2 linked regions of the Lepisosteus oculatus genome follow. The protein of the gene in region 2 interacts with the protein of the main gene of each other region in a pairwise test. Links are inferred from orthologs where the notes say so. Each region holds a gene or a part of one and is shown on either strand. Other genes may lie near its edges.

What was found.
Region 1: the proteins of swsap1 (region 2) and zswim7 interact in binary tests that used the Homo sapiens proteins (3 or more experiments, as listed by UniProt). The link is inferred for Lepisosteus oculatus from reciprocal best matches to the Homo sapiens genes SWSAP1 and ZSWIM7.

The regions. Positions count from the first base shown.
Region 1 is NC_090721.1:4,205,738-4,221,145, reverse strand, and holds the start of zswim7 (zinc finger SWIM domain-containing protein 7), read right to left. Parts: upstream 6,515-15,408; 5' UTR 6,315-6,514; coding exon 6,272-6,314; intron 5,823-6,271; coding exon 5,736-5,822; intron 2,887-5,735; coding exon 2,865-2,886; intron 1-2,864. Other genes in the region: uncharacterized protein, read right to left, coding at 8,268-8,326, 9,156-9,188, 9,344-9,400, 9,870-9,914, 10,245-10,307, 10,604-10,630, 11,255-11,299, 11,577-11,608 and 4 more. UniProt on the Homo sapiens protein: Involved in early stages of the homologous recombination repair (HRR) pathway of double-stranded DNA breaks arising during DNA replication or induced by DNA-damaging agents. Required for meiotic progression, hence for fertility.
Region 2 is NC_090706.1:17,207,134-17,222,337, reverse strand, and holds swsap1 (ATPase SWSAP1), read right to left. Parts: upstream 3,075-15,204; 5' UTR 2,986-3,074; coding exon 2,710-2,985; intron 1,668-2,709; coding exon 1,149-1,667; 3' UTR 808-1,148; downstream 1-807. Other genes in the region: znf653 (zinc finger protein 653), read left to right, coding at 3,805-4,097, 4,920-4,960, 5,651-5,932, 6,049-6,608, 7,143-7,323, 8,123-8,216, 8,780-8,891, 10,602-10,716 and 2 more. UniProt on the Homo sapiens protein: ATPase which is preferentially stimulated by single-stranded DNA and is involved in homologous recombination repair (HRR). Has a DNA-binding activity which is independent of its ATPase activity.

The sequences.
Region 1 (15,408 bases), on a different chromosome or scaffold from region 2:
ACCCTTCTCATGGTTTAAATAAGGGACCAACTCCAGCTTTCCCAAAGCCTTGCCACTCTCATTCCACACTGGCACTCAAACTGTTGATCTTAATCACTCAAACATAGTGATTCCAAAACATCATTTAGACTACTGTGGGCTGCACTGAAACATTATCTGTAACTTAAGGGACCCAAGCCAAGTCTTGCTCCAGTGATGACGTCCACTACACGAGGTGTGCAACCCAATCATCGAGCACACTCACTCCCCCTCTGTCTCCATACAGTAGGTGTGTGCTCCAGTGTTAGCTCAAAATAGAGTGTTTGCGTGGAGCAAATACAGTGAAACTGACAAATCTGGTAAGGAAGGGTCACTGCAATAACAATTTGGCGGGATACAAAAGAATGAGCAACAGAGGTCTGTCTTCTAAGCCAAACAGTTCTGAAACTCTAAAGGAACGACCAGATGTTAAATAGATGCTGGCGAGTAAAAAAAAAAGGACTGTTCGTATGAAGAGTCTTCATCCGTTTATTTGCCCCCATTTCATTTTATTTTTCTAAAACACTTTTACTTTTTATTTACTTCTCGGCTCAGAAGTACACTGCTTTTAGTGTCCCTTAGAAGCACGCACGCAAAACATCATTTAGACTACTGTGGGCTGCACTGAAACATTATCTGTAACTTAAGGCTTTTGTGTTATTATTCATCACAGATAAAGCAACAGCCCTCCTACTGCCACGTATTGGCCATACACAGTAAGAAATAGATCAAGTGTTTCCAAAGGCATATAGTTATTGTTTGATGTTCTGTAATAAGGGAAACCCCAATTTGTTTTCAAACATTTCACAAGAACAGTTGTTGTCATCTACCATTAAGTAAACTCTTGAAATATGTTAAGAAGTGTGGAAATCTGGATAAACCCTATCTGATTTGCACATGCGGCTGGTGTTGAGTCTAATTTTATCATAATTATGGCAAATTCTGCATTCCAATGGAAGATTTAATCTATGTATTTATATATTTTAAACTAAAAACAGTCTAACTGGTTAATTTAAACACAACTGTCTTAAATTTTGTTTCTTTGAATATAGAATCTTAGCAGTCATAAATTGCAGAGATGCAAGAGAGACGCTGATATTCTTATAATGTAGACCAGGCAACATTTGAGAGACAGAGCTTTATAAAGATTGGTGGGGTTCAAAACTAGTGAGCAGAAATATCTGAATTGAAATTAATCTCTAGGCAAAGACTTGGAAATGCTCAATTTACCTCCATTGTAATGAAAAGATACCAAAAATCCCCCTCAAAGCCCCTGAATTTTTTTAAGTCATGAGTTCAAAGTTTGCTTTTGCAGCTTACTGCATTAATCACATGTGCATTTAAATGTTTATCACCTTAAATATAAGATTGACAGTAGAAACAAATAAATACTGAGTAAAGTATAATTTTCATACCATGACTATCATAGTTATGGGGTCCTTCAGTGAGTAATCAAGAAACATAAACAGCTAGATCTGCAGATTTTGGCAAACACATAAGGATGACTAATTAAGTGAGGCTGGAGCCTACTTCTGGGACAAGAAGCAATGAAGTGTCCAGACTGGGATTTATCTGGGAACAAGAAGTTGGCGTCTGACTAGAGTAACAAGAAAGCAGGACAGTAAAATCCTTTATATACTGGGAGTCTTTCAGCTTGTTATTTTAGACTTGCAAAAGCATATTTTGTGACAAATCAAACTTTCTGATTGAAAAGTCACATTAAAACACCCACAGGGTAGGGAGTGTAATCAAATACAGATGACACGACTTTTTAAAGCATGTTTAACTGTAGCTCAAAAATGGGGGGGAAAACTAAAAGGCTCGAAGAAAAACATATAGCAGGATCCACTTCAGCTCCACATCACCAAAGGATCCTTTCATATAGTTTGTGTACCATTAATTAACAGGACTAAACTCTAATTCTTAGTGCACGGAGCAGGAAGTGGACCACGGGTATCTTATTGGCAGATAGCACAGCAGTCTCTTTTTCTAATGTGCCACTTGGACAGGTCTAAAAAGATGTACTGCTGACCTTCTCCATAGTGCCCTCTCTATATCTCCACAAAGCCAGTTTCAGCAGATGGCTGAGATTTAGTGGAATATGGAAGAGGGACTGTTTACTTCATTTTAATCTTGCATTTGTTTTTGCTTTGTTCAGCTGTGAACATGCATTGAAGGATTTTTGTGTGCTTACATACAGAAAAAAAATATAATAGAACTGCATACAATCATAACCCTGTATTGTATCAAAAAATGATGAATAAATACATTGAAAAGAATGAATAAAAAGGCTTTTCTTAAGTTATTCCAGCTTCCACCCACATTTTAAAGACATGCCAGCTAGGTGTACTGGGGTCTGCAAAGTGTTCCTCTGTGTTTGTGCTTGTGTTTGGGTCCCGCAACAGGCTGGCATCTCATCAGGGTCAGAGTCCCAGCTTGTGCCCTGCGCTTCTGGGATAATCTCTAGATTACTGCCACACTTTTCAGGAATAAGCAGCTTTCCAGTAATGGACAGATGAATAAAGCTATCCCTATAGCAGGGTGCCAGTAATTGTGCACACAGATGAAACACAAGAACACTGTAAATTGGACACAGAGAGAGTTGAACAGCTGTGTTACAGCTGAAACTTTATGAAGTCCTTAGTAAAAATTATATTGCTTATTATTTTAAATAGCAAAACAGGTCTCCTGTTAAGGCACCTGTTAGAAATAGGTATGTGATGCATAATACTACAGTCAAAATGTACATATGCAATATGCACTATACATCTCTAATTATAACATGTTAGAAACAAGTTGTTGTAAACACAAAAGTTATTAAATGGTTTAAGAAAAGCCATACTCACACCAAAAGGAGTTCATCTGGAACTGGAAAAAATAAAGCACAAAAGCAGAGTTAGACTTTAATATGTATAAAACACTGTTTACTATTTTACACTGCAAAATGATGAGACATTACACTGCAAAAATAAATTAAGTCTATATGATCAACCCAAGCAGATTAACCTTTGGAATTTCTGCTGATTATTACTGGATATGTATATATTTACCATCTCTATTGACTATTTTGTGAAGAAACATAAGGTTTAGAATTTGAATGTAGTTTTAATTGCAACACATTCCTGCTATATTGTTTGGAAAAGAAAGAAGCAGGCACATAAAAAACTCTCTAGTGTTCAAGATAAGAAAACACTTATACTATTTTTTCATGAGAAAGTTGGTCATAAGAATATTGCTTCTCCAGCCTTGCGTTTAACAAGACCACATAGGTCACTTCTTAGGAAACAAAATCAGTGGCTCATCAACAAACAGTCTGTGGCTCAATTTCAATTCATTCCAGCTTTGACACATCAGGCAGTTCTAGGAATAACAGAATATGTAAGTGATAAAATGCTGGGATTAAGATATCTGTATGCTGCTTGTTAAGGCTCGGTCTCCAGGATGAGGGAGATAAACGGTCTCATAAATTTTTCTTTTGCCGCTGTTGATATAATTTAATCTAGGAGAACAGGCACTCAAAAAGCGTATTCTTATTCCGCACAAAAAAATGTTTTAAAAACCTGACTAATTATGGAGAATGAAGGCAATCTATAATATGTCCAACTAAATTGTGCACCAGTTCAAAAGTACTGACATCAACTAAGCAGATACCAGCAGGGGAAGTCACATCAATCAGCGTAAAAATCTGTCAGTGTTAAGAATGCAAAGCTGAAAAAATAGCAAGGTTTCCTGTTTATCACTGCCACAATTGTGTTTTTTTCGTTAGAAGACGGGGTTTGGCAGTACCAGCACTCGGGTTGCAAAAGGAAAAGTGTTTCTTCAGCCTGAATACACTGAAGGCTGCTGTGAACGCTTGCTGCAGACTTAACGGCTTTCTTGTCACCGAAATCCCCCATCGTGACTGAGAAGGAAAAGGCAGAAAAAGGAAACTGTCTCTAGACATCGCTCCGTTTGTGTCCTTTTACATGTGTTTTGTCTGCAGCTTTAGAAGCCTTTAAAAAAAGAAACCTATCAATCATTTAAATGTTGCTGAACCGCTAAAATAACTGCGCCGGAACAAGAAATGCAGAGCTTTGTGAATACGTTCTACAAAGGGTAATTCCCAGAACTGGAAATCTCACAGGCCCTGCAGTTTCATCAATCCACGGGAGTCTGTGCACAAAATTACACACATCTGCCTGGTCCTTTTCTTTTTCAATGGCTGTGGGCCTTTCCCACAAGAGGAAACCTCATCAAATGTTTTTTTAGGCTCTAAATGAAATTCACATGGAGGTCCCAGAACTGCAAACGGACTCTGTGAAGACCGCTCTGGCACAGCACCTCACAAACTGTAAAATCTGAATTCCAGGCACGCAAAATTCCTCAGTGGGAGAACGTTAAAAAAAACTAAGACTCGAAAACCAGAAGCTGTCCCATCACTGTGAACCACTGTCTAGATGAACATTCAAAAGGGGAAGACAAGACTAAAATGCAGATCACGTAAAAAACAGTTTTAGCATAAATCATGCTGCTTTTAATGTCATAATGCCCCCCCCCCCCAAAATGGAATAAAAGAACACAGAAAGAAAACAATACTTTTTAGACCAACTACACCCTGTCACCCATCATCTCAAATATTTTCTTATTTAAAGTCTGATACGTTGCTTTTTACGTAAGAACACACAACAATTTCTGACAAGTATACGGTTTTGAAAAGGTTGTGGTCCACAGACAGGAATAGTTTTCTCTCTCGTCTACAATCTATCAAACGCTCAACCAACGAATTGAACAACAGCGACCTCTGCTGGAAAGCATAGGCATATCAATTCAGTGCACTGTAAATCCAGTCGATTTTTTAATCACAGTCCGACTGGGCTCCGTTTGACTTCTTTGTGCGTGTTAAAAAGTATGAGAGGACCTGAAAATTGCTAAAACCTTCTGTGTTTAGTTTGTATCACCAACATAAAAAAACAAAAACGTCTCAATGTCCACTGACCAGATTCCCTCCTGGACTTTACAAATCATGGCCTTTCAATAATCCCCATCTATGAACTGGTTTTATAGAAAAGCACTAGATTAATAATAATATTATTATTATTATTATTATTATTATTATAACACCTTACACTTATATAGCGCTTTTCTGGACACTCCACTCAAAGCACTTTACAGGTAATGGGGATCCCCTCCATCATCACCAATGTGCAGCCCCACCTGGATGATGTGACGGCAGCCATAGTGCACCAGTACTCTCCCCACACAGCAGCTCTCAGTGGAGAGGAGAACAGAGTAATGAAGCCAATTCAGAGATGGGGATTATTAGGAGGCCATGACTGGTAAGGGTCAATGGGAAGTTTGGCCAGGACGCCGGGGTTACACCCCTACTCTTTTCAAGAAACGCCCTGGGATTTTTAATGACCACAGAGAGTCAGGACCTAAGTTTTACGTCTCAACCGAAGGACAGCATAGTATAGTATCCTCATCATCACTATACTGGGGCATTAGAACCCACATGGACTGCAGGGTGAGCGCCCCCTGCTGGCCCCACTATCACCTCTTCCAGCAGCAGCCTTAGTTTTTCCCAGGAGGTCTCCCATCCAGGTACTGACCAGGCTCACACCTGCTTATCTTCAGTGGGTTGCCAGTTGTGAGTTGCAGAATGCTATGGCTGCTGGCATATAAGTGTATGGATTATTTATTATTTATTTAAACACATGACAGTGTGACACTGTACTTACTTTGAGATGTCTCCTGGTAAGCTTTCCTGATGTCTTTCAGAACTTCTTCAGCCACATCAGGCAAAACTGTGGACATGTTTCCAGACCCTGCAGAAATACAAAGAATAATAAATATCTCACAGAAAGCAAGGTATTAAACCAAATATTGGAAGTGCTTCTGTAGAAATTATTTTGCTTAATTACAAACTTTGACATGCATAATTCTACAGGTTTAGAGCCTAAATGTGTATTAAAAAGTTATTTAAAATTAGGGTAAATTGCACTTACGATACGATACAGTATTTATATATTTTGGAAACTTTGTTTTTACTGTCATTACACTTCACACTCAGATACCTGCATAACCATTCATTTAATAATAAATAACACTGTTTGAGTTACAGTTTGTTTCGTTAGCAAACCTTGCTCAAAATCATCATTACCACCAATCAACTTAAAACGATGTAATCGATATACTGTGGAAAGTCGCATGTTTGCACTGATTGTGACACCTGCATCCACTACCCAGTAACTGTCTCCTTCATGCTACTACTTACGTGATGCAGATTCACAACAGAAGACAATCCTGCAGCAGGACATTCAGATAATTTGCAGTAAAATTTACAGTTTCCGGGCTAACAAGTTACATATTTTGGTGCAAACTACCGTTAAGAAGAAAAAAAAACATTGAGAAGCTTACACAATTTCTTGTTGATGATAAAAACTAAAGGTTTTAACAAATTTAATGTAGTCACACGCTTTAACAATGGTGCCCTTTAATAACAGCAATAGACGTTTTCGCTAACCAATTCGTGAACAACCGTGCTCAATTCGATAACCAAGTACATAAACGATATTTTTAACATGAAAACAAAAAAATTAAGTTAAGCAAGAACGCTCTCGCGTTGCTTGCGTATTATGTTTTCTTTCAAACTACTAAAAATGAAAAGCTCATAACTAGTTACGTCTACTAAAAGTACACGTTTTTTTCAGTAGCTTTTCATTCATGTATTTTCATTAGTATTAATTTCTCTCAAAATTAAAAAGAACTCAAAAACATGAACTTACCGGGGAAACGAGCTCGTTTTCAGCGCCTAACGACGTACAAGCGCAAGGAATCCTGGTCATTGTAGTTCAGATTGTAACGTCCCTTGCGAGACTCCCTCTGAGAAAACTACATCCCCCGTCGACAATCTCGTTCCCCGGAAAACATCGTTTTCCAGTCGTTACAAGTGGTCGGAAGTTCAACATGTGATGCGTTTGATAATGTCTAGCTGGCTATCTTACGCATTGACACAAGACGTCAAACAACGTAATGTGCTTGCTGTTGTATTACTGAATATATTCACATTCTGTCTTCGCTAAGTATCTACATTAATTTAAAACTAATAAAAACTTGATTAACCTTAGACTGTAAATCTGTAATATCTGCTGCTTGTTTATACGGTCATTACACTTCACACTCAAGATATCTGCATAACCATTCATTTAATAAGGGGTGCAAAGGCATACAAATGTTCTGGTCACTGACAGGAGTCCAGAATACATCCATTCAAACACGTTTTGTGTTTATTCTGACTAAGAACCTTTGTGCTCTTGTGAGGATCATAGTGCATCTTGCAGGAATGTTCTGAAACGGTGAAGAGTCCTACAGAAAGACTGAGTTGGAGTGAAATACCAATGACAGCCTGCTAGTGAAGCCGTTTCCTGTACTCATCTTATTGGTGCACTAGGGAAGAAACCTGCTTGACGCTGAGTACATGCTGATCCATTCCGGACCTGCTGTATGGGTCCTGACAGAAGCTCAACATCAGATTTGAACAGTACAGCCCCTTGCATGTCCCTGTCACCGAACAGATACAATTGAAATGTTTGGAAACCAGCTAGAAGCCCTTTTATAAAGATCACATCAGATCAAATTAATTGGCATAGTCCGGGTTCTGTTAAACGCTCAGTGGATTTACAGACAGACAAACGTCTCAGACTGAAACTGACACAACAGCATTTCATCTGCAACTATAGGTATTGATGTCTTTCATTCACCTAAAAAGCAAAGGCAGACACAAACAAACTATGCAAGGAAAGAAGTAACTTCAAATTATTTATTTTTTCAAAAAATGTTTCCGATAACATTTTAGAGGCCAACTTTTACAAATAGATTGTGTTGAAAAAAACAAAACTGTTAAGTCCCAGTCCCTTCCACAAGCCTTCCCTTTAAGAACATGTTTTTACCCATATTAAGGTATTAAAGGTTACAAAACATAATTTATGAATTGTCTATAATCTGTATTATGTGTAAAATGTACTTCATTAATAAAAACATTAAGAGTATCAATAAGACGATACTATCTAAACCCTGCTGATAGTGCATTCACGAAAGGCAGATTGTATAGGCTATAGTAATACTTGATGTTTCAACAGCTTCTTTTACATTCACAAATTGTCTGCAGCCCATAAACTGCTACCGAGCACAAACACTTGCATCAAACACGTTGAATGTGACTTCAGCCTGAATATAAACCATTAAATATCTCCTTTTTTATTCCTTCATTCCTATAGCTGGTTCAGATGTTCACGGCTGTTGGCATAAATTGGGTTTTCATATTTTACACCTGTAAGGGATAAAATAGAAACTGTTAACCTGGAACTGTAAGCTGTTACATCAGTTGCACACCATGTAACCATACCTGAATTTAATGACAAGGAGGTAGCAAAGTAACTCTTGAACTAGGTTATCAAATAAAATAGAAATAAAACAGGTATATGTTTATTCTGTTGTTGTTAGTCTTTAAAATCTAAGAGCTAACTACTCCACAAGACACAGTATAGTTCTCACAAAATAAAGAACCCAAGGCCAGATGATAGATAAACAGATCAAATGTGGTACAGACAATTGCAAGGTGTTTATGAGGCGGTGATCTCTGCAGCACTAGAACACTAGTGTGTCCAACAACAGCCTGCAGAACGCACAGGGCCAAGCAGTCACAAGGTGCTTTTGCTGATGCTTCCTTCATGTTCAGGCTGGTGCTGTACTGTCACACATTTACTACTGCTATGGCATTTTATGTACCAGGTTTCTACGTGCTGTTACTTATTTGCATCAGCTATGAGTGGGCCAGTCACCACATCCTAAGGTGCCCACTCTCAGTGAGACATCGTCTGCAGGATGTGTGGGGGGGAGGGGCCAAAGTCAGCTCAGTGGTGCAAATGTCACAGTCCGGTGCCAGAACATCCGTGCATCTAGATCACGGTCTTCTCTCGGCACCACAGAGTGTTTGGACACTGGCAGCTGAAACAGGGATTCTCCATCCGACTTCCTGCCAGGGGTCACGGCAACCTGGAGTCTATCCCAGAAGCACGAGCGGGGCAACTGGGAAAACATGATCCTTTGCATGAAAAAAAAAACAAGACACACAAATTCCCCCCCCAAACAGGACCTACTTTGTTCTCTTCTCTTCTTGACCCCCTCGCTTTCTGTAACACAAAAACACAAGCATGAGGCTTTCTTTTGCTCCGGCTGCTGTTACTGAGGAAACGGAATACATTTCTGAATTTCTTTCAGCAGCTTCCAGTTGACAACACAATCAAGTCATCAGTACGACAGCGCACAAACAGATCTCAGCACCTACTTTTCTTCTCCCTTGCTCTCTGGGTGTCCATGCTTTCGGAGAGCTCTCGTTGGTTGACTGTAATAAAAACAAAGACGAAAAGCAAGGTGAGGAAGCGTTTTTTAAGGAATGAAGACATTCTAAATTAACTAAGCTACCTATAATGAGTGGCTTTATATCATCTCTGCATGTGCCCCCTTTCTTAGGGGGTTAATTCACACTGAATTTTCACCCTCCCCCACTCATTCTCCATTAAGGTATGTGTTCCACTTCCTATATGATTTGGAGGAAACAATGTTTTAGGGCCGACCCAGTGACTAACTCTCCAGGGATTCAATCATATTCATTTGCAGGCTCAGGGTATACCCCACCACTCCCTACAACAGATAGGGGGTTCACAGGTCTGGGCCTGGAGACTCGCAGAGCTGCTGCTTTTCAATCCAGCCCAACAGCATTGCTCAACCGAAGCTCTAATTGATGTTAACACACACGCTGAATTTCAATGATCTAAAACTGCTCACATGCAGAGAAGAAGAACTGATCATACCATAATCGGGTTTTGTTGATTTTGTTTTCTTTACTCCGCCAAAGCCTGTAGGAAAATTAAAGACAGTTGAAAGGAATTGATTAATGACCGCCGGGAAAGGCCACAGGTGATGGCCATGGAAAACACCTTCTTTGATCTCTGATCCTTCTCGAGACCTCTCGTACACTCAACAAAACAAAAAACAGAAACATGCATGTTATTATGGATATTATTAACATGCATTAAAATGATATACTGTATATTCAAATAATCCCATGCTTGCAAGTCTTGTCAGTATACCTCGGAATTGTGGTAATAATAATGCAGTAAAAAGGAAACCTAATCCCACCATTGATTATGAAATTAAAATATAAAACTGAAGTACTGGTGCCTTACTCTGAGTAATGACTGGATCTCTTCTCACATGCTCCCTGTGTTCTGGGTCATGAAGGCTGTTTTCTTAATAATGGGGAAAAGAATGGAATTCACTGGTAAAGCAGTTAAAAACAAAAACAGTAAAAGCTTCCGTTGCTGTGTTTTTAGTTATTTGCCTTGTGCATTTCCTGCAATGCATTAAACTGGTGAAAACAATGTTTTTTCACATAATATACAGTAAACACAAGGAATTCAGGTTCTATTTTAGTCCCATAATAAACTATATTGCACTCAGCCACTCCCTGACAACCTAGATATTTGCATGCCAGTGAACACTTCTCAATCACAGAAACACACAAATACTGTACATTTAGACTTACCATAGATAGTCACATCCATGGTGTTTTCTGGAACAAGAGGCAAAAGAGCAGCCATGAAAGAGACATTAAAGGAGATTAAGAATCACTGTTTTGTAAATGAAGCTACTGGAACTCAGACATATAAAACGGAGAGCAGTAAAAGCAGGCAACTATGTAGTTTAGAGACTGCATAAGGACAAACACTGCCTTGCATGTGGCTCTATTCAGACAGAACCCAGAAAAGAGAAATAGAAAACCTTTGCCCTCACTCTCCTTTTTTGCTCATTTTAAATGTCACTGAAATAAAAGAGGAGTAATACTACTGATTCTTGTGAGGTTCAAGGGCTTCCAAACTGATTTGAGGCCGTTCGGAAGAGACTACCACAAGGCGGAGACAGAAATCTTAACAACGGTAAGAAAGTGTTGTTTTCTGTGGTTATTGCACAAGCTACTTTGGGACTGTGAGCTGGGAACATGCGGCTTGAGCGAAAGAAGGACTTTATAGATTTCTTCTAAGGACTTTGCACCCTCTGGTTTAAAAATGCAGTGATGAGAGCACTTGTGAGCTGAGAAACATTATATCCACTGTCATGTTACAGGTCCCCACAGTACTTCTAAATGCACTGTAAATAAAACATTTACTTTAGAACAAAAATAATCTGTAGATCCTACCTTTATGAAAGCTCATGTTTCCATAAATAGTCTCCAATGACTGACCTAAAAGTTTAAAACCAACGGTAACTCCTTTTTTCATTTTTGCCTTTGGATGCTATGCTACCAACACCTTCATAAAGGCTTCGTTACACAATGTAATATACAGAGCCCTGAATCTCCTGAATCTCTCAGAGGAAAGACTGTGGGCTTTAAGTATTTTAACTTGCATGACATCTCATAGTAGCACTTAATGATTTAATAATTTTTTTTTATTTAATAACTCGTGAATTTCACAATACGAGGATACATTTCTCCAGAGTTTGAGACAGACAGCCATTACCTGCTCTGCTGTTCTTACCGTGACCAAGATTCCTAGGATATGAATCAAAAGAAAACATATGAAGTTTACGTCTGTAGTTGAAGTAAAAGAAAGGTACAACACTGTAGTGTTAACAACAGCTTCAAGCCCTTTAAAGCCCTGGGTTTACCTTAACAACAAGAGAACTACCACCACCAGCAACAACAATACAAGAACAGGATGACCTGCTAATCCAACCATTCTTCTGAAGGTACACACCACAACAACAGCTTGGCTGTTTTCTGCAGAGACTGCTTTTTCATGGGTAGGTCTTACGGGAGAATACTGATATAACAACAAGAAAGCGATCTGAAAATAAACTGCGCAGGTACAACAAATTACTGGTACATACTTTGACGGGTCAGCCAGGCGTCTGCAACCTTTAACAGAGAATGAAAGTACAATAATCCAGTTAGGCAGCTGAACACAGAGCCATGCTCAAAGCATGAAAACTCCAGGCAGGATTCTAAAGTCACACCTACATGAAGGAGGTACACCTATATTAAATCATACGTACATGACGTCCCAAGCTCATGGGGTAAATTGGCTGTATGGTGTGATTTAGCCTTCAGGTCTACTGTACCAATGGCTCTATGTCCCTTAAAAGCCCTGGTCACATCAGAAACCAAGGAAATGTTTCAAAATGTGGTGGAAACAAAGGACTAGAAGAGATTGTGATACTGATGTATCCTGTCCCCCTTCACTATCTCAGGTATTGTCTTAGTTTGTCTTTCAGAAAAGGGAGGCCTGGGAGGCCCCAGTATGAGGCAGGCTTCAGCTCCAGTGGTCTTAGTCCACTGGGACTCTGCTTCTAAGCCTTTCAGAGAGAAATAAGTCATTTCAAAGTGAACAGACATCAGGAGGAAGAAATGCTCACCTCTTCGCCGCAGACACAAAACGAAAAAGGGAAGGAGTATGATGACCCCCAGTCCTCCTGCTGAGCCGATGACGTACCAGCTCTCCCAAACCGAGCTCCCAGAACCTAGAAAAACTATATTGGACTGACATTTCATCCACTGACACCGGACTGACTTCAAACGCAGGGTAAGAAGCACTGGAGGAAAAGCACAACACTTCTTGCACCTAGTTACACTGTTTTGTTCACACCAAGATAACTCTTGCGCCTGATGTTTGGTAAGACTACACTTCAACTGAAAAGAAACTGAATTAAGGATTTTATAGGCTATGAAATTTATTTAAAACTGCATTATCTGTATGGCAAAGCACCTGTTTATTGACTACTCTTGACTCATGTGTTTTGCCTCAACTAACAGGACTAAAAAGGTGATGAGAAGTTGGGTCACAAAAATTCCCCTTAGCTTGTCTTTCAGCTCACTAAGGAGTTCTGATGGATCTGTTGTATTTACCTGGGCTGAACTCAATCCCCTGAATTTCCAAGCAACTGCGACCAGCTAAGAACTTGCAGTGATATGTGCCCATATCATGCGGCTGGAGCTGTTCGATGCGGATGGAGAAGTTGCCCTTCTCTGACAGGCCCGGGAAGACCCTGAGTCTGCCCTTCTTGTTCTCCAAGAAGCGCTCGCGTCCCGACGACAAGATTTGAACCAGACTGGTCTCGGAATTGGAGTTATTGAAGGTCCACACTACTTCCCAATCCTTGGTCTTGGACTGGTTTAGCAAGCTGGTGCTGAAGTTGCACGGAACCAGAATTCCCGAATCCAAGGCGGCTTCAACTTTGGTGACCTTCTGGGGTTTCACTTCTTCACAGCCGTCTTGTGCTGGAAGGACGAGATGGGGAGACAGGAGAAAGGAGCATGGTTTTGCCATTCCTGTGCAGATCAGGATAATGCCATAACCACCAGGCTGTTAGCGATCTCCCCAAATTCATGTTTGTGCTTAGAAAAGAAAAAACCCCAAGGGCGTCTGTTTCTCAGGCCTGTGAGCTATAAACCATACGCAGCGGTTTTCAAAAAAAATATCCAAGAACACATATTTGTAGGTGAAAACACACAAAAAAAATCTGATTCACAGCAGCTACCTTATCAAATAACCAAAAAACTGTATCCTGTATACCGGTAAAACAAAAACATGCTAAGTATAAACTGAAAACAAACAGATGCCGGATACCCATAATCCTGTTATTATTAATAGAACAGAGATCATCATCATGTCCCAACTTGCATTTTGCCGTTATTCTTAGAATTATATTTTAAAAAACAATGAAATGTTTTGTGCAGAAACACCCCTTTTCGCAAGACGTACAGAAAAACCACAGTTCACTGTTCTGCGCCATCTCAAACGTCTGTTCAAAGCAACTGCTTCAAGCCCTTTGTTGACATAGAAGCTAAACTCACTCTTCGTTTATTACACTTTAATGCCGGCCAAAATGGCTATGGTTTTAACAACAGAAACCATCAGATGCTAACCAATTAAAATTAAACCTATAACCCATTTTGTCCACACAACATTTGACAATCATGGTCTCCACATCTGATTCTTGCATGTAGATACTGTACATTTTCCTTCCCCTCGTGTACTCGGCAGTTTAAACAAAAGCTTTGAAAGTTCAAAAGACCAACTGCTTACCTGTGGCAAGTACTAAAGCCCAGTTCACAAATACCCAGAAAGTGCAAGGTTTAGTGTTATCCAGCAACATCTCTCAACAAAATCTGATGAAAGCTTGTGCACCAAGCTAAAACAAATGTAGAGCAGAGCTCAGGTCACTGCAGACAGAGCAGAAACCACAGTTTATCACACTACAGAAGACGAAGGAAAGACCATATTTTGGTCATTTCCTGATCACAACTTGCCTTTCCACTCTCCACGTTGCAAGTATTAGTTTCCGCCATTACTTTTTTCAAGATAAGTGATGCATTTGAAGTTTTAATTCCCTTTGTACATTTTCTGAATTATTTCAGAAAATATGAAACATATGAAAATATGCTTCATAATATTTTTAATACTCATTCCTGCAGGCTCTCACGTCATGACTTCTGCTCCTTATTCAAGCAGCAAGCCAGCAGCGATGAATCTCGGATGTCTGTGTTTTCCCTCAGAGACACACATACAACGCAGGGATCGAAGGAGGAGGATAATAAGAGTCAGTTTTAATCAATAGTTTAATGAGATTCGAAGACGAGCCCAGGACTCGGTATCGAGAAGTGTGCTCCTAGCGCTGGGAAGAAAAGAACGGAGGAGAGTGAAACCTCTCGCGAATGTTATGAAACCTGTCAAAATCTTTTCGCTGGGGCACCCTTTAAACAAACAAAACAAGTCAAAGGTTCAGTTTCCAGTCTTTTTAAAGTGTTCCAGTAATAAGATGATCTGATTTTCAGACACTCAGGACATGTTTATAGCAAACAGACAGGCCTAATGCTTTCATCTCACTTGTGAGCTTTCATTCTTATGCTGCCTCATGTAACAGTTTCAAGGCCCATGTTCAGCATACCACTGGCTTTATTTCAGACCGAGCGACTGCGCAGAGCCGAGCAGGAAATGAGTGCTAATGGGTCACCACGCTGGGCACGGCTGCACAGCTCCACTCAGAGCAGGTAGATTAGAAACCAGTATCTGATACTGTATCTGATTGTGGCGAAAAATTTCCTGTGACATTTCTAAACAGGTCATACCAAATGACAAAAGCAGTTCAAACTAAGGAGACAGACCTAAGTTTTAACTTTTAACATGGGAACAAAACCACTTTCCTCAAGTCAGGCAGAAGTCTATTTACAGATATTCTGATATTACTGTGTTGAATCCGCTTCATCAGCCTTTGATGATGACATCGTATATCTTCTATTTTATATGCTATATGCTCGTACCTTAAAGCGGTCATGAGTAATACACTTTTTGG
Region 2 (15,204 bases):
CTCTGTCTCAGAAATGATGACATTATCTGTTAAATACCCCTGGCAGGATAATCCAGTATCTTAATCATCAAAGAGAGAGACACATTGGTGGTGGCAGAGGGGTCTGTATAGAAGAGTACTCAATGGTTATGGCTTATAATGAGCAGAGTTATTGATAGCAGGGTAGTTTTAAGAATGCACTGGATGTTGAGCTGTTAGTTCATTTCTCTATTTGAACCACAGTGAATCTCTGGGCCAGAGCTTATGCAGGTGTCAAGGAGTTAAGCCACGATTCCAGAGACTGACTGATGTCAGACCATGCTGATGTATGTTAAGTTCTATAATATATACAGGGTTAATCAAAATGTTGTCAACGAGTATAAATGTCAATTGTTTTACTAAGGTTTTGTTTTCTCCTCCACAGATGGTGAAGGATTGTAAGGTAACTGTTAAAAAACTCTGACCGTTAATTACATGGGTTACTGTGATAAAAAAGGTTTCAAACAAAAGCGTAAATATCAAAGTTGTCGACCGCATTTTGATTAACCCTGTATTTTCCTTCATCTTTCAGTTCAAGTATCTAGAAGCTCTTCATAAGAAAAAAATTCAACTTCAACAAGCTCGGGAGGACAGTGCTGAGGAAATACAGAGAGAACTATCAGGTGAGGCATCGCCCACAGAGCGCATACCGATCATTCTGTTAGAAATAAAGAAATGAAGCCCGACCCCCTCTGTGTGAATAACAGATGACTCAAGTACACTGTAAGAGTTCTTTTGGACCCGTATGGATCTGAAACTTTCCCAGCCTGAATGTACGACTTGGTTATTTCATACTGTGGCTTTTCCAGGATTATGGTCCAGAATTCCTAGCCTGGGAATCTGCGCAGGTGAGCCATTATAGGCTTCTATTTTCAGGTGATGGAAGAGAATAGCCAGGAAAGTTTGGAATGATCAATCAGGAGCTGGCTGCGAACAGGATGAGAGGAATGTGATTTTTCATATAAACCAACTTCTAAGTTTGTCTGTTGTTTTTGTGCTCGACTGCCCTGTTTCAATAGCCTGCCCACACACAACAGGACACAAAACCCATAACCTCCTCCAAAATCCAAAAGACATTTAGGCCAAATAAGTGAATAAATGTTTTGTGCATTTCCAGCCACAAGGGAATCTCATTCCTGGCTCTTTTCTGGGATTGGGGTAAACTCCATGGCTCCGCTTGGGGTATAGACCAGCTCCCACTGGCGTCCCAGTCCAGAGTCCCGTCCTTCCGTCTGCTGGAAACCGGAGAAATAAATCCGGCAAGCTCTTGTCCCTGCACAGCTGGCGTCTCTTCCCAGCGTGCACCTGACGGGGAAGTAGCGCTCGAAGACGGAGAGGACCGAATCGCTGCCCGACGCCTCGGCTCCGCGTTCCGGGTGGGTATCCAAGGACACGATGAGCTGGCACTCGGCGGGGGGGTCTCCGGGGGCCCCGGCGCGGGCCCGGCTCAGGAAGGTGGCGGTGTCGCACAGCAGGGCGGAGAGGCGCGCGGCCATCTGGTGCGCCTGCTCGCCCTCCCCTCCCCAGCGCAGGTAGCGCTCCAAGCCGTCGACGATGAGGAGGGAGGGCGGCGCGCCGGCTGCCTCGTGCAGGCACGCGACGTCCCGCAGAAGCTCCTCCGCCGTCCGGGGGTACACGAACTTGATTTTCTGCAAATGCATGAGGGGACATCATGAGATGAAAGCGCTAAATAAGTGTAAGAAATAATAATGGTAATAATAAGAAGAATAATTATTATTGTTGTGGTTAGGAAATGTAGGTCAGCACGGTAGAAGAGTGGTGAACACTGCTGCCAATAAAGCCCTGGCTTCAATTCTGGGGTGCTGTCTGTGTGGAGCTTGCATGTTCTCCCTGTGTTCATGTGGATTTCCTCCAGGTGCTCCAGTTTCCTCCCACAGTCCAAAACCATACTGATTTTTTTTTCAATCAAAATAAACTTTATTTCAAAGAAAACATCTCACAAGAAGTATAGATTCCAACACATTTCTCAGTCAGGTGTCCATTATCATTCATTGCAAGTGGATGAAGGGTCCAGATTTGCACAATGAAAGAGTCCCTCCTAGCCCTACCGTAAACCATACTGATAGGTTAAGTGACTTCTGGGAAAACTGGCCGTGGGGTGAGTGTGTATCTGTTTATGTCTGTGTGTGCCCTGAGACAGACTGGCGTCCCGTCCTGGGTGTATCCTGCCTTGTGCCCATCACTTGCCTGGATAGGTTCCAGCTCCCCCACAACCTTGAATTAGAGCAAGCAGTGAGAACATGGCTGGAAGGGTGACACAGGCGTGTACGTTTGGTGAGACTGAGCTATGACCCCAGAGGACAGAGACTGCTCTCATCTGCTTAGTTCTAGGATGGCTCCAAGGAGGCTGGAAACTGATGCCATCTGCTTTTCTGTCTCCAACGGCTTTTTATTAAAATATTTACTAGACTGAAGACAGAAATACCTATATTGAGTGATTTAAAGATACTTAATACACTGAAGACTGAAAACAGACTGAAGACAAAAAAGATGTAATAGACACAGTCTATCAATATTTACTACACGTTCTGCGTTCTGTAAAAATCAAAATAAATTTGAGAGTTCTGTTACAGACGTGGGTAAGAGCCGGTGTTAATCATTTCAATATCCTTGACTACACAGCGTCAAAGTGAAGTTTTATGCCCCCGTAGACATGTGCACGGTACCTACTTTCAGGCTAGCGGGGTCCAAGCCTGCCCGCGCTTCCATCAGCGGAGCAGGGAGGGTCTGGATCGGAGTGGGGCTCAGAAAGATGACTTTCCGCCCCAGTTCGGAAGCCGCCATCACCGCTGTTAGAAACAGAAGGCACGTCTTGCCACAACCCCGGCCCCCCAGCAGGATACAAGACAGTGAGCGGGCTTCTCCCTCAGGAGGAGAAAGAGAAGGAGACGACTCGCGTCCCCGAGGACTGTAGCGATCGAAGACCCAAGTCAAGAGTTCTGCCATATTGCCATTACCATGGAAACAAAGCCGACAAGGGAGTAACTTCCTGTCTCCGCTCGGTCCGAAAACAAACCCACACGTGAACTCTTCCCGCGCTGTGTCAGGCCCCGCCCCCGAGCTGTTATAGGGCGAGATGTGCGTATGTCAGGTGTCTTGAGTTCCCATTGGATAAAAGAAACGTAGGATTAAACCGCAGCACCTTTTACTTGAAGACATATTCACGACACCTTGATAACGGAGATTTTAAAGTGCAAGCTATTTTTGACATTTAAAAAAAATGCAGTTGTCTCGTTGATCTGTTGAATCTCTCTGGTTTGATTAAATGTAGCTCCTTGCTTAGGATTAAAAAATTAAATACTTAAAGTTATCCAGACAGACTGCTTTAAAAATATAATAAGAAGAAAAGTCGGTTTTGAACTTTTTGTTACTCTTAGCGTGTGCTTGCGTTAAAGATAAACGTCGAAGAAGAAACTAATGTTACAGCCTAACCTGGTACAAGGAGAAATAGCGTGGGTACAGCAATTCTAGAGCGAAATGATTCGATTAATCAAAAGAAAAAAACAGTGTGTGGCCTACAACAGTATTGTAGCGCTCTCGGCATTTGCCACTTTTAAAAACAGTGCCAGAGGAATTGGTTTTGTCCCATGCTGTTCTTTCAATTTTGTGATTACACTGAATATGTGTACTGAAATAAAGTAAAAAGAATAAATATATTGCCGCTATCCAATCATTTTTCTGCAAGCAGTGTTTCCGGTGAGGTCAAGTCGCATACCTTGACTATTTCCGGTAAGGTCAGAAACATACACACAGCTGTTGACCAAGATGGCGCACATGAGTGCCGAGGAAGAGACGTCTCTAGACCAGGAGGCTGGAGACCAAATTTCGGCGATTCTGCGGCGCTGTCGGGGACGTCCTCGCCTCACTGACACGGACCGAGCTAAGAGGCGATTGGAGTCCCGGAAAAAGTACGACGTCCGGCGAGTGTACCTCGGGGAGTCGCACAAACTGTGGAGTGAACTTCGGAAGCGGACCAGTTTAAGCGACGCCGGACTAGCCGAGTATTTAATCCTGCTCGACTCGATTTATGGCGAGAGGTACCAGCAGAAATACGGCGGGTAAGCCATTTACAAAAAATATTTTATTATTATTCTTGTGAGCAGAACATGCTTCATTTAAGGGTAAGCTTACTAAATGGTACACGACCAGAACTAGTGCAAACCTAATATTCAGTTTAATAACCCTGTGCTCTCTCGACCAGGTACTTTGGCTGCTAGCAATATGATAATTTATTTTTTCAATAAATTTTGTCTCATTATAGTCTTTTTTTCTTCATAGAGAAGTCTTCCCAATCAGTCAATTCTAATCTAACCTTAGTTGTTGTGACAGTGGTATTTTGTCCATCTGTGCTATTACTGTAGATGTCTTATTTATGTAAATGTCTTGGCTCAGATGTTATGTTGCAAAACACATGGATTTTTAGTTGATCTGAAGCGTAATCTAGTGATTTTCAGATTCCCCTACAAATGCACTGAAATATTTCGCCTAAATCCCTCATCACGATTGCCGAATTTTGACTCACCCAGGAAAAATTGCTCACTGATATCTGCATTTGTAACTTCTGCAGTACAGCTATAAATGTTCTGTAAAACATTGCTAGAGTGAGCCAAGTAATGTCCAAACTGCATTGCACGTTGAACCATTTCTAATTTTACAGAGTTTAATCTTATTCATTTTGCCTTGCTGATCAGTGTGGGTTTTCTTGTGGTATTTTAACACATTAGTCTGTTCAGACTGTTTTGTTGCATCAGATGTGAGAAAATGTCCTACTGACCTTACAGCAAGGGGATAGGAAAATGCAATGACCTCTTTGAATTATTTCAATTACTTACTGCTGTCTAAACCATAGCCTGTATCATAACCCTCTTCTTGTCTTTCAGAAAGAAGCTGAGTGCGGAGTTTTGTGTCAAACCAAAAAGGGGTTAGTAAAAACAGTTGGTAACAAGAGGTAGTTGAACTGTAGAAATGTGCTAAAGCCCGTTGCTGTTTTAATTTGATGTCTGCACGTATCCCATACTTTTCAGTAAATATTTTCTCGTTTTTCCAAGTAAAAGCAAACTCCTTTCAATGAGCACATTTCGGTGCTAAAATAGTTACTTTTTTTGTAACATGGTCTTGAAGCTTTTTAGATAATTTGAGTGGCTGAAGTGAGACAATAATAGAAGCCCTGTACAATTTGCACATCGTTCTTAGTATTATCAAGACACTCCTATTTAAAATAATATCTAAAATAAGCTACAAAGACCTATATTTAAGCTGTTTAAGATTTAAGCCCTCCAAACACCCTGCATCTAATCTTGTGACTCTTGAAGCATTAATCCATCCATCCATTTTCTAACCACTTTATACAATACAGGATCAATGAGTAGCAGGAGCCAATCCCAGCAAGCTCTGGTTGCAAGGCAGGGCACACCCTGGACGAGACACCAGTCCGTCGCAGGGCGGACACAGTAGCACACACTCGCACCAGGGCCAACTTTGCCAGAAGCCAGTTAACCAATCAGCGTGTCTTTGGATTGTGGGAGGAAAGGTGTTTGTGGGTAAGAAGTAGAGAGACCTAGTACTGACAGTGGTGCCGTGCGCTTTACTGTCTGTGCCTGTGTCCCCTCAGGGAAGAAGAGCAATGTGAACTGTCTGAGCAGTCTGGTCAGCTGGTACATGGAGCACCAGAAGACCTGCCCCCACGAGCCCCAGCTGCACGCCCTCGAGCCTGTGCTGGGCTTCTCCACCACGGCGGTGTGGCAGTGCCAGGCCGGCCACGGCTACATGCAGCACCTGGTCTCTCCCAGCAAGGATGCCAGCGAGTCGGAGAACGAGCCCGAGCCCGACACGCCGCCATGCGACAGGGTGGCACCCTGCACCAGGAGGAAAACGGCCTCTGCGTGCCACCTGGGTGAATGGCCGAACCGGTTAAAGCCGACGCCAAAAGCCAACAATAATCAACATTTCTGCGTGTACATCCTTCGTGGGTTGACTGTGACGGTTTCTTTCCCTTTTCTCCTGCCGCAGACGCCACGGAGACGGCCGAGGAGATGTCGGAGGGCCTGCAGGGCGGCGATGGCGAGCTGGCCAGAGCAGAGCCCATCGCGCAGGACAGTCAGGGGCCTCCGCCGGGCCATCCCGGCGAAGCCGACGCGGACTCCCCGGCGGCTAGGTCTCTGTGGAACATGGAGGTGGTCTTGGAGGAGGGGGAGGCCGTGCTGGAGGGCAACAAGGCCGGCGAGCCCCCTGGGCAGCCGGAAAATGCGGCGGCATCCTCGGAATCGGGTCCCGGAGCCCTGGGCCGGCATGCGGCGGGACCGGAGGAGGAGAAGGGAGGGGGCGCGTTGGCCGCCGAGACGGACTACGAGTGCATGGTGGTCACTGCCGCCCTCACGGACAGGGCAGTCAAAGACGGGCGGGTTGGGGTGGCGGAGGACTCCGGGCGGGATCCGTCCCACCCTGCGCCCCCTCCTCCCCCCACCATGCACATCACCGGCGGCGGGGAGCTGTACGACCAGCAGACTCTGCAGACCGTGGTGGCCAGCTGTCAGATCCCCGACGCCCAGGGTGCCATTGAGGGATCCCAGGTAGGACCCCCCACCCATGGCCTTCCCATTTCCCTCAATCAGAGCTGGATCCACTGAAACGAGGCAACTCGAAACGTCTTGGCCTCCTCTTGTTCCGGAGCTCATAGTCGACACATCTTCTTTACTGGCTCGCTCCCTCTTCTGATTGCATGCCTGCTGTGGAATGTAAGAAAGGATACAAACAGGAGAGCTTTAGCCCACTTGTTTCTGGTTTGCTGATTGATATGAGGATCTCATGCATGCTTTTCTTCTAGGTTCCCTGGCAGTGTGCTGTAATAACACTACTGGCTATCTTATATTGCCCAGATTCCTATAATAATCCCTGTTTAAGCCATAAGCCTATGTTCTTTGATTTAATCAGTGGTCTCCTTGATTCACTGTTGGTCCTAAAATATCCTTCTTTTTAAGCTCAGTATTTTTCTGGGTTTTGTAACTGTTTGTACCAGTCTTGGACTGCTGATCCGTCCCTCCCACCTGTTTCTACGGGGAGGGGGAGTGGTGACTCTCAGTCAGTTTCCTTGTTTCTCCTGGCAGGTGATCATCATCACAGGGCCCAGCTATGAGGCCCTGACCACAGAGGGCCTGCAGCTGAACGTGGGCGAGAGCGTGGGGGAAGAGATGACCTGCACGGTCATCGAGGGGGTGGCGTATAACCAGGTCTGCGATTCTGGGCTCGGGCACAGGGGCGTCGTCCAGAGCTTGGACACTGCTAGAGGTCAGTCTTTGGCGGTTGTCACCTTGCAGCTCCTTTGTGTGTTTATGTAGATGAGATCTTAATCTTTGCTGCCTGTGTGCCTAGCTGCAGGTGTTTCAGTTCACGGTGTTTGTGTATTGAAGGCCAGTGTGCAAAGAGCCATTCTATCTTTAAATGAGATGTTTAACCTGCTAATGTGAGTAGCCTAGGCAGAAAGAACATAGAATTAGTAAAACTATAATGGGATACAGAAAAGGTGAACAAACAATGAATGTATTGGGAGAAATCATATGAGCTGTTAATTTATCCTCGTGATGGGTGGGTTCAGATCTAAATTCTGCAGTTTTTTATCAACAGCTGGTCTGAGAGTAGTCTGTAGACTATATAATCCCTGCTGCACAGATCTGGTTAGTGGATTCTCTTTATCAGAGCCTTTTAACAAACCTGGAGGAAAATCCAGTTAAAATAGAGAGGATATAGAAACAGTCTACCCACCCTTATTGAGATTTCAGCTTTTGTAGATGTAAAGGCTGAAATCAAGACAAATCATTTCAGACCTTTTTTCACCTTTAATTAGTTCTCGTAACCAACAATATTCAAGCGACAAATTAAAAAAAACTTTCAATGCCTTGGTTACATAACTGTGCCCATCCTTTTAACCTCACATCTTATTTTTTAGCAAACCCAAGCTAATGAATTTCTGAAAACGGTTGTCTGTCTGTGCCTGTTTCTTAAAACTCCAAAATCTTTTTGGCGACGCTGCTGGACTTGTGTGGTTATGACGGAGGGGGGAGTAAAAATGTGGCCTTGGCGCTTGCAGCTGTCGGCAGCAGGCAGGAGGTGCACAGTAACCTGGAGCTGGAGGGCCTGGGCGTGCCGGCTGAGGAGAAGGAGATCCAGAGTGGGCTTCAGAGGTGGGTAACGCTGTTTCTCTGATGTGGATGAAATCTATGCCCCGGTTTCTTTCAAGAAGTGGCTGATTGTTAAAGACCCTCAGATCGCTTTGCCAATGGCACCCCAACAAACCATATTTCTAGTTTAGAGATGAGCGACAAGGCAGGGGCCTCTGGGTGACCCCAGCTCAGGGCTGCATGTCTCTCTGGGATATCGACTGTGCGCAGGAAATCAATTAAGAAAATGGCTTTTGGACAGTGCCAGGGCAATCTCGTGCCAGGGATCAAGAGTGAAGCAGACATGCTTTTTAAATAGGCTGTTATTCTTCTCCATCTGGGTCCAGAGAGAATGAGTCTGGCTTCTCCTTACTCTTTGATTTTTGTCCGACATAAATATATGACCTATTTAGCTTTTTCAAAGGCAGGGTATTTTTTTGATCCGCCATCTTGATGGAAACGCTCAAGGGTGCTGGGGTTGCCCGGCAGGAGACAGGGGATTCGGGTGGCGCGTGTGCCTCGGGGGGTGGCTTGTGTCTTGGCCTGTGGAAGTGGTATGACCTTGTTCCCTGTGCGGTTTGCTACAGGTCCAAGAGGAGCCGGCGGGGGCCCGTGATCGAGGCGGACGGGATGCTGAAGATGTTCCACTGTCCGTATGAGGGCTGCAGCCAGGTGTACGTGGCCATCAGTAGCTTCCAGGTGAGGAAAGTGAAGGCGCATGCACTTCCATCGGGCTGCCTGTCACTCCCCCTGGGTAAGGGGGAACCTTATTTTACGCACAAGTCTGTGATGCAAAATTACAGTTTATAATTAGTTGTTTCATGGGGGTTATAATTCATAATAATTCCTTACACTTAGTAGTGCTTTTCTGGACACTCCACAAAAAAGTGCTTTAGAGGTACTCCACTCCACCACCACCACCAGGATGATGCGAGGGCAGCCATAGTTCTTCAGTCTTCTCGCCACACACCCGATATTACTGGGAAGGAGAGCAGAGTGATGGAACCAGTTAATTGATGGGGATTATTAGGAGGCCATGATTGGTAAAGGCCAGGGGGTAATTTGGCCAGGGCACCAGGGTAACACCCCTGATCTTTTCTGTAGGATTTTTAATGACCACTGAGAGTCAGGACCTCAATTTCATGTCTCATCCAAAGGATGGTGCTTTTTATTTTTTACACTGTTGTGTCCCCGTCACTATACTGGGGCATTAGGTCCCACACAGACCGCAGGGTGAGCACCCCCTGCTGGCCCCACTAATACCTCTTCCAGCAGCAGCCTTAATTGGTCCCAGGAGGTCTCCCATCCAGGTACTGACCAGGCTCACACCTTGCTGAACTACAAAGGGCTGCCAGTTATGAGTTGCAGGGTGATATAGCTGCTGGCTGCTGGGTTATATCACTATGTGGTTTTAATTGCTGTTTTTTATGGCTGAATCTTCTCTAAAAACAAGTCTGTGGTGGCTCTTGATTGGGGGGGGAGAGCAGGGTGAGCCCTGTAATCTCAGTGTCGTTAGTTCCAACTTCATGTCACAAGTAGATTCCTGACCGGGATGCCACAAGCAGCAGCTTGAGAGTTTGAGCACTTCTGGGATAGGACTGGGTTCAGGCAGAAGATGGTTACGGTCAATTGTTTGAAAGAGATATTGCACTGGGAAAGAAAGATTTCCTGTGTCTATTAGTATTTCACCTGGGGACACAGAGGTGTCTCCCAAATGGGAGTAGTGTGAACCCACAGTGAAGGGGGTGAGGAACAATCCATAATACACATTGAAGTAGTTCAGGTGGGGAGCTGCGTCAGCTTGCCTAGGCTGCTGTGTGAGGCACCTGAAGAAGGATCCGCAGCCGAAACGTTGTTTTCTTTCTTCTCTTTTCAGTATGGAATAAACCTATTACTTGTTCCATAATACACATTGCTTTCTTTGCCACCTTCTGTTTATAAGGTGATTCGATTTGCCCCCAATTAATTTGTTACTTAATTTGACTAGTTTTTCAAGCCTGTTGCAATCAGTGGTACTGATATTACCAAACCAGCATGTGAGACAGTATGTTAATAACACTTGCAATAAAAGACTTTATTTAACAGTGTTGAGGTGGTTCTATCTGCCTTGAAATGGCTTAGTTTCCTTGGAAAAAAGAATGTTGAAAGTCTGTGTCAAACATAAAGGCAAATACATCCACTATTGAGCTGAGGGTATGTTAGTGCCTCCGTGCTCTTTTTCTATAGAGAGGTTTGAGAAATAAACCTGTTTTAAAAACTACACTGAACTGCGTTGTCAACAACAGGAACTGTATATAAAACTAGAACTTTCACCCAGGCACCCATTTATAAGTGACAGACCCTCCAGAAGCAGCTTCCAGTGTCCATACTGGACGTCTGACCCACTTCCTGTACCCTCCTCCCTTTCAGAACCACGTCAATCTGGTCCACAGGAAGGGCCGGACGAAGGTCTGCCCGCACCCTGGCTGTGGGAAGAAGTTCTACCTCTCCAATCACCTGCACCGCCACATGATCATTCACTCAGGTAACCCCAAGAGCACCCGCACAGAGGCATTCATTACAGTGCCCTCGGCGTGGGTGTGTCCTGACGTTTCTGGGGTTTGTTCCCAATCCCTCCAACCCTTAGTGGGAAATCGATTCCTTTTGTGTTTTTTGTCATCTAAACCCTGACCCTTGTGTTTGCACTCATGTTTTTGTCTCGCTGCTGGTCCTATAGTAGTAATCTGTATTGAATGTTAATAACCTTTCAGTGTTTTAAATATTTCTGTCACGTACCCAGTCAAGCAGTGCAGACTAGAGAGATTCAATTCCTTTAATCTGTGTGTTCCAGCCATTTCCTTAAGACCAGGAACAGCCATCCTTTCTCTTCATTGATCTGATGTTTAACTTCTGTGGAACTTTGAAGAAGTCTTAATGAGATTCTTGGATGGCTAAATTGCTATCTTTCAGTGATGTCAGATCTCGCAAGCCTATTCTGAACCTTTTTTTTTATGGTTCGGATCTTAGGCAAGCTTCCTGGTGTTGCCAATCAGTGGGGACAAACAAGAAATGAAGAATAAAATGCAAAAATCTATTCCATGTTAAAATCAGGTCTTGTAGTTCCTTGTGTAGTACAGGTATATGAGTTCCTGTAAAGATGCAGTCCTGCAGGTTTTATGGGTAAACTGAAAGGGCAACTGCAACACTATTTTAATTGTTGTGGGTTAGAAAGAATCAGAAGTTACTGTGTACATTTTACTTTTATTGAAGTTTGAAATGCACTCATCACATGTTAAACCTCCAATTTACATCACAAAATAGACCAAATTTCCAGGTATGCACAGCATCATATTGCTGTAATTGTCTGCAAATTCAGAAATGAGACAACGAAACATTCGGTGAGATGATGCAGCTCTATTACATTGTAAACAAGCAGGCTTGTTAATCCATCTCTTTGAATCCAATACAGATATTACTCTTGATTTTGGGATGGTTTTGCCAGCAAAATACTACTTGTTAACTCTGCATACAGATCAAGCTGGAAGCTTTCTGCAGTGAAATGACTGGTACGCAACCTGTACTTAATTCGCTTGTACATCCCATTACATTAGTCATTATAGTTACTAGTGAGCAGGAAGGGCTGGTTTAAGTCACAGTTGTCACCGACCCTCACTTTTGCCCGTGGTGAGACCAGGGGTTTGTGATGCAATGGCAATCTTGCAGTACTTTCACAAAGTTCATGGTTTTCGTGCTTAATTAAAAATGTGTAAGTTCATTAATTTATTTTGTTACTGAGATTTAATAACTGGTCTGAGGAATTGGAACTGCAATTCCCCTTCAAGTGCGGGATCTGTATAGCATGTTAATTCCTCCTTATTAATGCAACTGATCGATCCAATGACATCGCTGACGTCAGAGCTGAGCTGGCACAAGAACCAGAAGACACTGTGGCTCTCCAGGACCAGAGTACAATCAGATTATGGTCATGTGGCATCTGGTAACAGTGACAGCATGCCCCTCCTCCTCCTCCCCCCCCAGGTGTGCGGGATTTCATCTGTGAGACCTGTGGCAAGTCCTTCAAGCGAAAAAACCACCTGGAGGTTCACCGCCGCACACACACTGGAGAGACGCCGCTGCAGTGAGTATCCCTCAATTCCCGAAACCCCAGCAGCATGCACACTCCATAGATCAAAACCCGGAAAGACTGCTTCAGCTGATATCCTGTCAGTCTTTAAATTTAAAAGTTGTTGCAGTTAGCCACTTTATCCAGTTGAGCTGAAACAGACATAAGCCTTCTCTGTAAAAGGCAGTGTTCTATGTTATGCCTGCAAAATAATTGCAATGGAAAAAAATCTTAAAGCAGGAAAAATCATCATCTTAGTAATTTGTCCATGTATTTTTATTGTTTTTCACACCAGCAAAAATACATGCTGCATATTGCATATTAAACTAATGTCAGAGGTCATGTAGATTGTTGGTACAGTGTATTATGCAGGAAGAATTAATGAGAAAGAAAAATACAGAATTCCCATCCCCTTCCCACATTTCTCCCAAATCTTCACTTGCAAAAAGGAGTTGAAGGACAGAAGACACAAAAAATCAAAAAAGATCATCATAAAGTTAATTACACTAACTCTCTAGGTATTAAAAAAAAAAGTGGAAGGCCAGTCCTAACGGATATCATCTCTGTGGCCAGTTAGTGACAGATTAAGATCTAGGGTGTAGAAGGTAAGCTCAAAGTCTCAAAATATTTCACTAATGTTTGCCAAGCTTTTAAAAATCTGATTTTTTAAAATTATGCATCATATTTCTGATCCATTGAACAAATGTGAGTGAGCCAACTTGCTTCCAGTTAAAAATGATAAGGTGATTGAATTTTGGATATGGTTATTCAGGTGGCACACTAAGCATATTAAAGACTGTGAATTCCAGTCAAGTCTTCTGTTGACAGTGATGAAGCCGTTCTGAGAGTCCCAGGAGGTTTGATTTTCATTTTGGAATCTTAACTAGAAACTCATTACCTGACCTTTAATAAAGTATTATCTATCTGTCTAACAGGGAGAGCTGTATTTAGTCTGTAACCATGTTAGCTGCTCATATTGCACACAGACTGTTGTCACTTCACCTATAGTGTAGCTCATTAAGGCAACTCTGTACCCCCAAAGGTCTCAAAACTTTCCGATCTGTTAGCTGGAAAGGTTTTGAATACTTACGCAGTTGTGACTTTTCAAGTTTTTCATATCGATGTATGTATATTAATTATACATAATTAAGATCTATTTACTTTTGTTTTTTGTTTCAAATCTGAGCGTATATAGCTGTTATTACAAAGGTCTTGTAGTTGCATTACAAAGCACATTCCGCCTTGTAGCGATCATGACCCCTGACGGCTCGCTCTGTCCCCCCCCCCCCCCCCCCCTCGCCCAGGTGTGAAATCTGTGGGTACCAGTGCCGGCAGCGGGCCTCCCTCAACTGGCACATGAAGAAGCACACCCCCGAGGTGCAGTACAACTTCACCTGCGAGCACTGCGGCAAGAGGTTCGAGAAGCTGGAGAGCGTCAAGTTCCACAAGCTCAAGAGCCACCCGGAGAAGCAGGCGGCGTGAACGTGGAGGGGGTGAACTTCCTGTCCCAACCCAGCAAGGAAGCTGTGTCCTGTAGGCTCTCGGCCAGCGCCCTGAAAATGAGGTGCTCTGTGGTGACTGGGCCTGATTGCTCTCTGGCACTGGCGATCTTCCTGCGCAGTGCGTTTCCTCTCCTTGCGGTGCTTTTGGAAAGTCCTCTCCAGAGCCCATAGTGCTTAAATCTGTGGATGCTTTTTTTACACAACATCTAGTGAAGGAGGCCGGGGATGGTGGTGTAGGGCACAGTGATATGTTGGGTTTTACGCCAAGGAGAGGGTAGCACGTTCTGGGTTTGAAGTGACACTCCAGACCTTCTTATGTGTTTTGAGACCTTTTTTGGTTTGAGGTGAAGTGATTGTTTGTAGGGGTCTCATCCCCGAGACAGAACGTATGGAAATTTCCAATGCACTAATGCACAGATGCCTAACTAGGCTGTAATATTACTGGTCCATCTTAAAATGGCTGCAGGCCTGTGTGGAATTCTAGTTAGTTTCCAAGGGGCATGTGGTAGCTCTGCTTTTTGTAAAAGCAGACAATCAGGGAGCGAGGCAGATTGATGCTGCAGAAGGCACATCATATTTGCAGAAGTGCTCCAGGACAACCAATTTCACTGATGATTCGAAAAGACTCATTTTAACACAGCAGGACTCTGCTAACTGGTTTCCTGCCAGAGTCCCAAATCCTTATTGGATTGGGCCAGAGATGAGAAGACTTCCCATTTACCTGCATTGATCTCCTCAACATGTCTTGCACCAGGACGTCCCATGTCTGCTTCTCAAAGGCATAGTAGATCTGGCAGGTTTCGTACAAATCCTCACTAAATCAACAGCTTCAGTCCAGGCCTTGTGTACCTCTAAGGTGTCCTGCTTCTTTTAAAGCACCGGTACCTGAAGAACTAGCTGAAGTTATTCTATAGGACCAGTGAAGCCAATAATGAGCTGATTTTAGGCGATTAAGAGCTGGGTTGAACAGGATGGGAGACCCCTGATGTAAAGAACACTTTCCAATCTGACTGCTGTGCTGCTCCTGAAGCCTGTACTTTGGGATCCCCGCCTTGGACACTCGAGAGTGATCTGGATTTTAATCATGGAAAGATGAACTGGTCTGGGAGGCGAACATTACAGTTTGGCCAGGTTAGTTTATCAGTAGAAGGCCTCTTTCAAGGAGCTGCAAAAATGTATGTAATATTTTAAGATCTGAGCTTAACTGGAGTTTTTAAGTTTTGCCTACCCTCTTTATACCCCCGTTCCCCGCACGCATACTGACTATTTGTTTAAGAGCTCAACTTTCTGGCAGTGGTTCCTGCACAGAGTGGAGGGGGGGTGAGGATCTGTAGAGGCGGCCTGTCAGAGCCTCTGTTATTTCTCCATGCGGTCCACGGGGGAGGGTTACATGTCTCTGGGAAAGCCT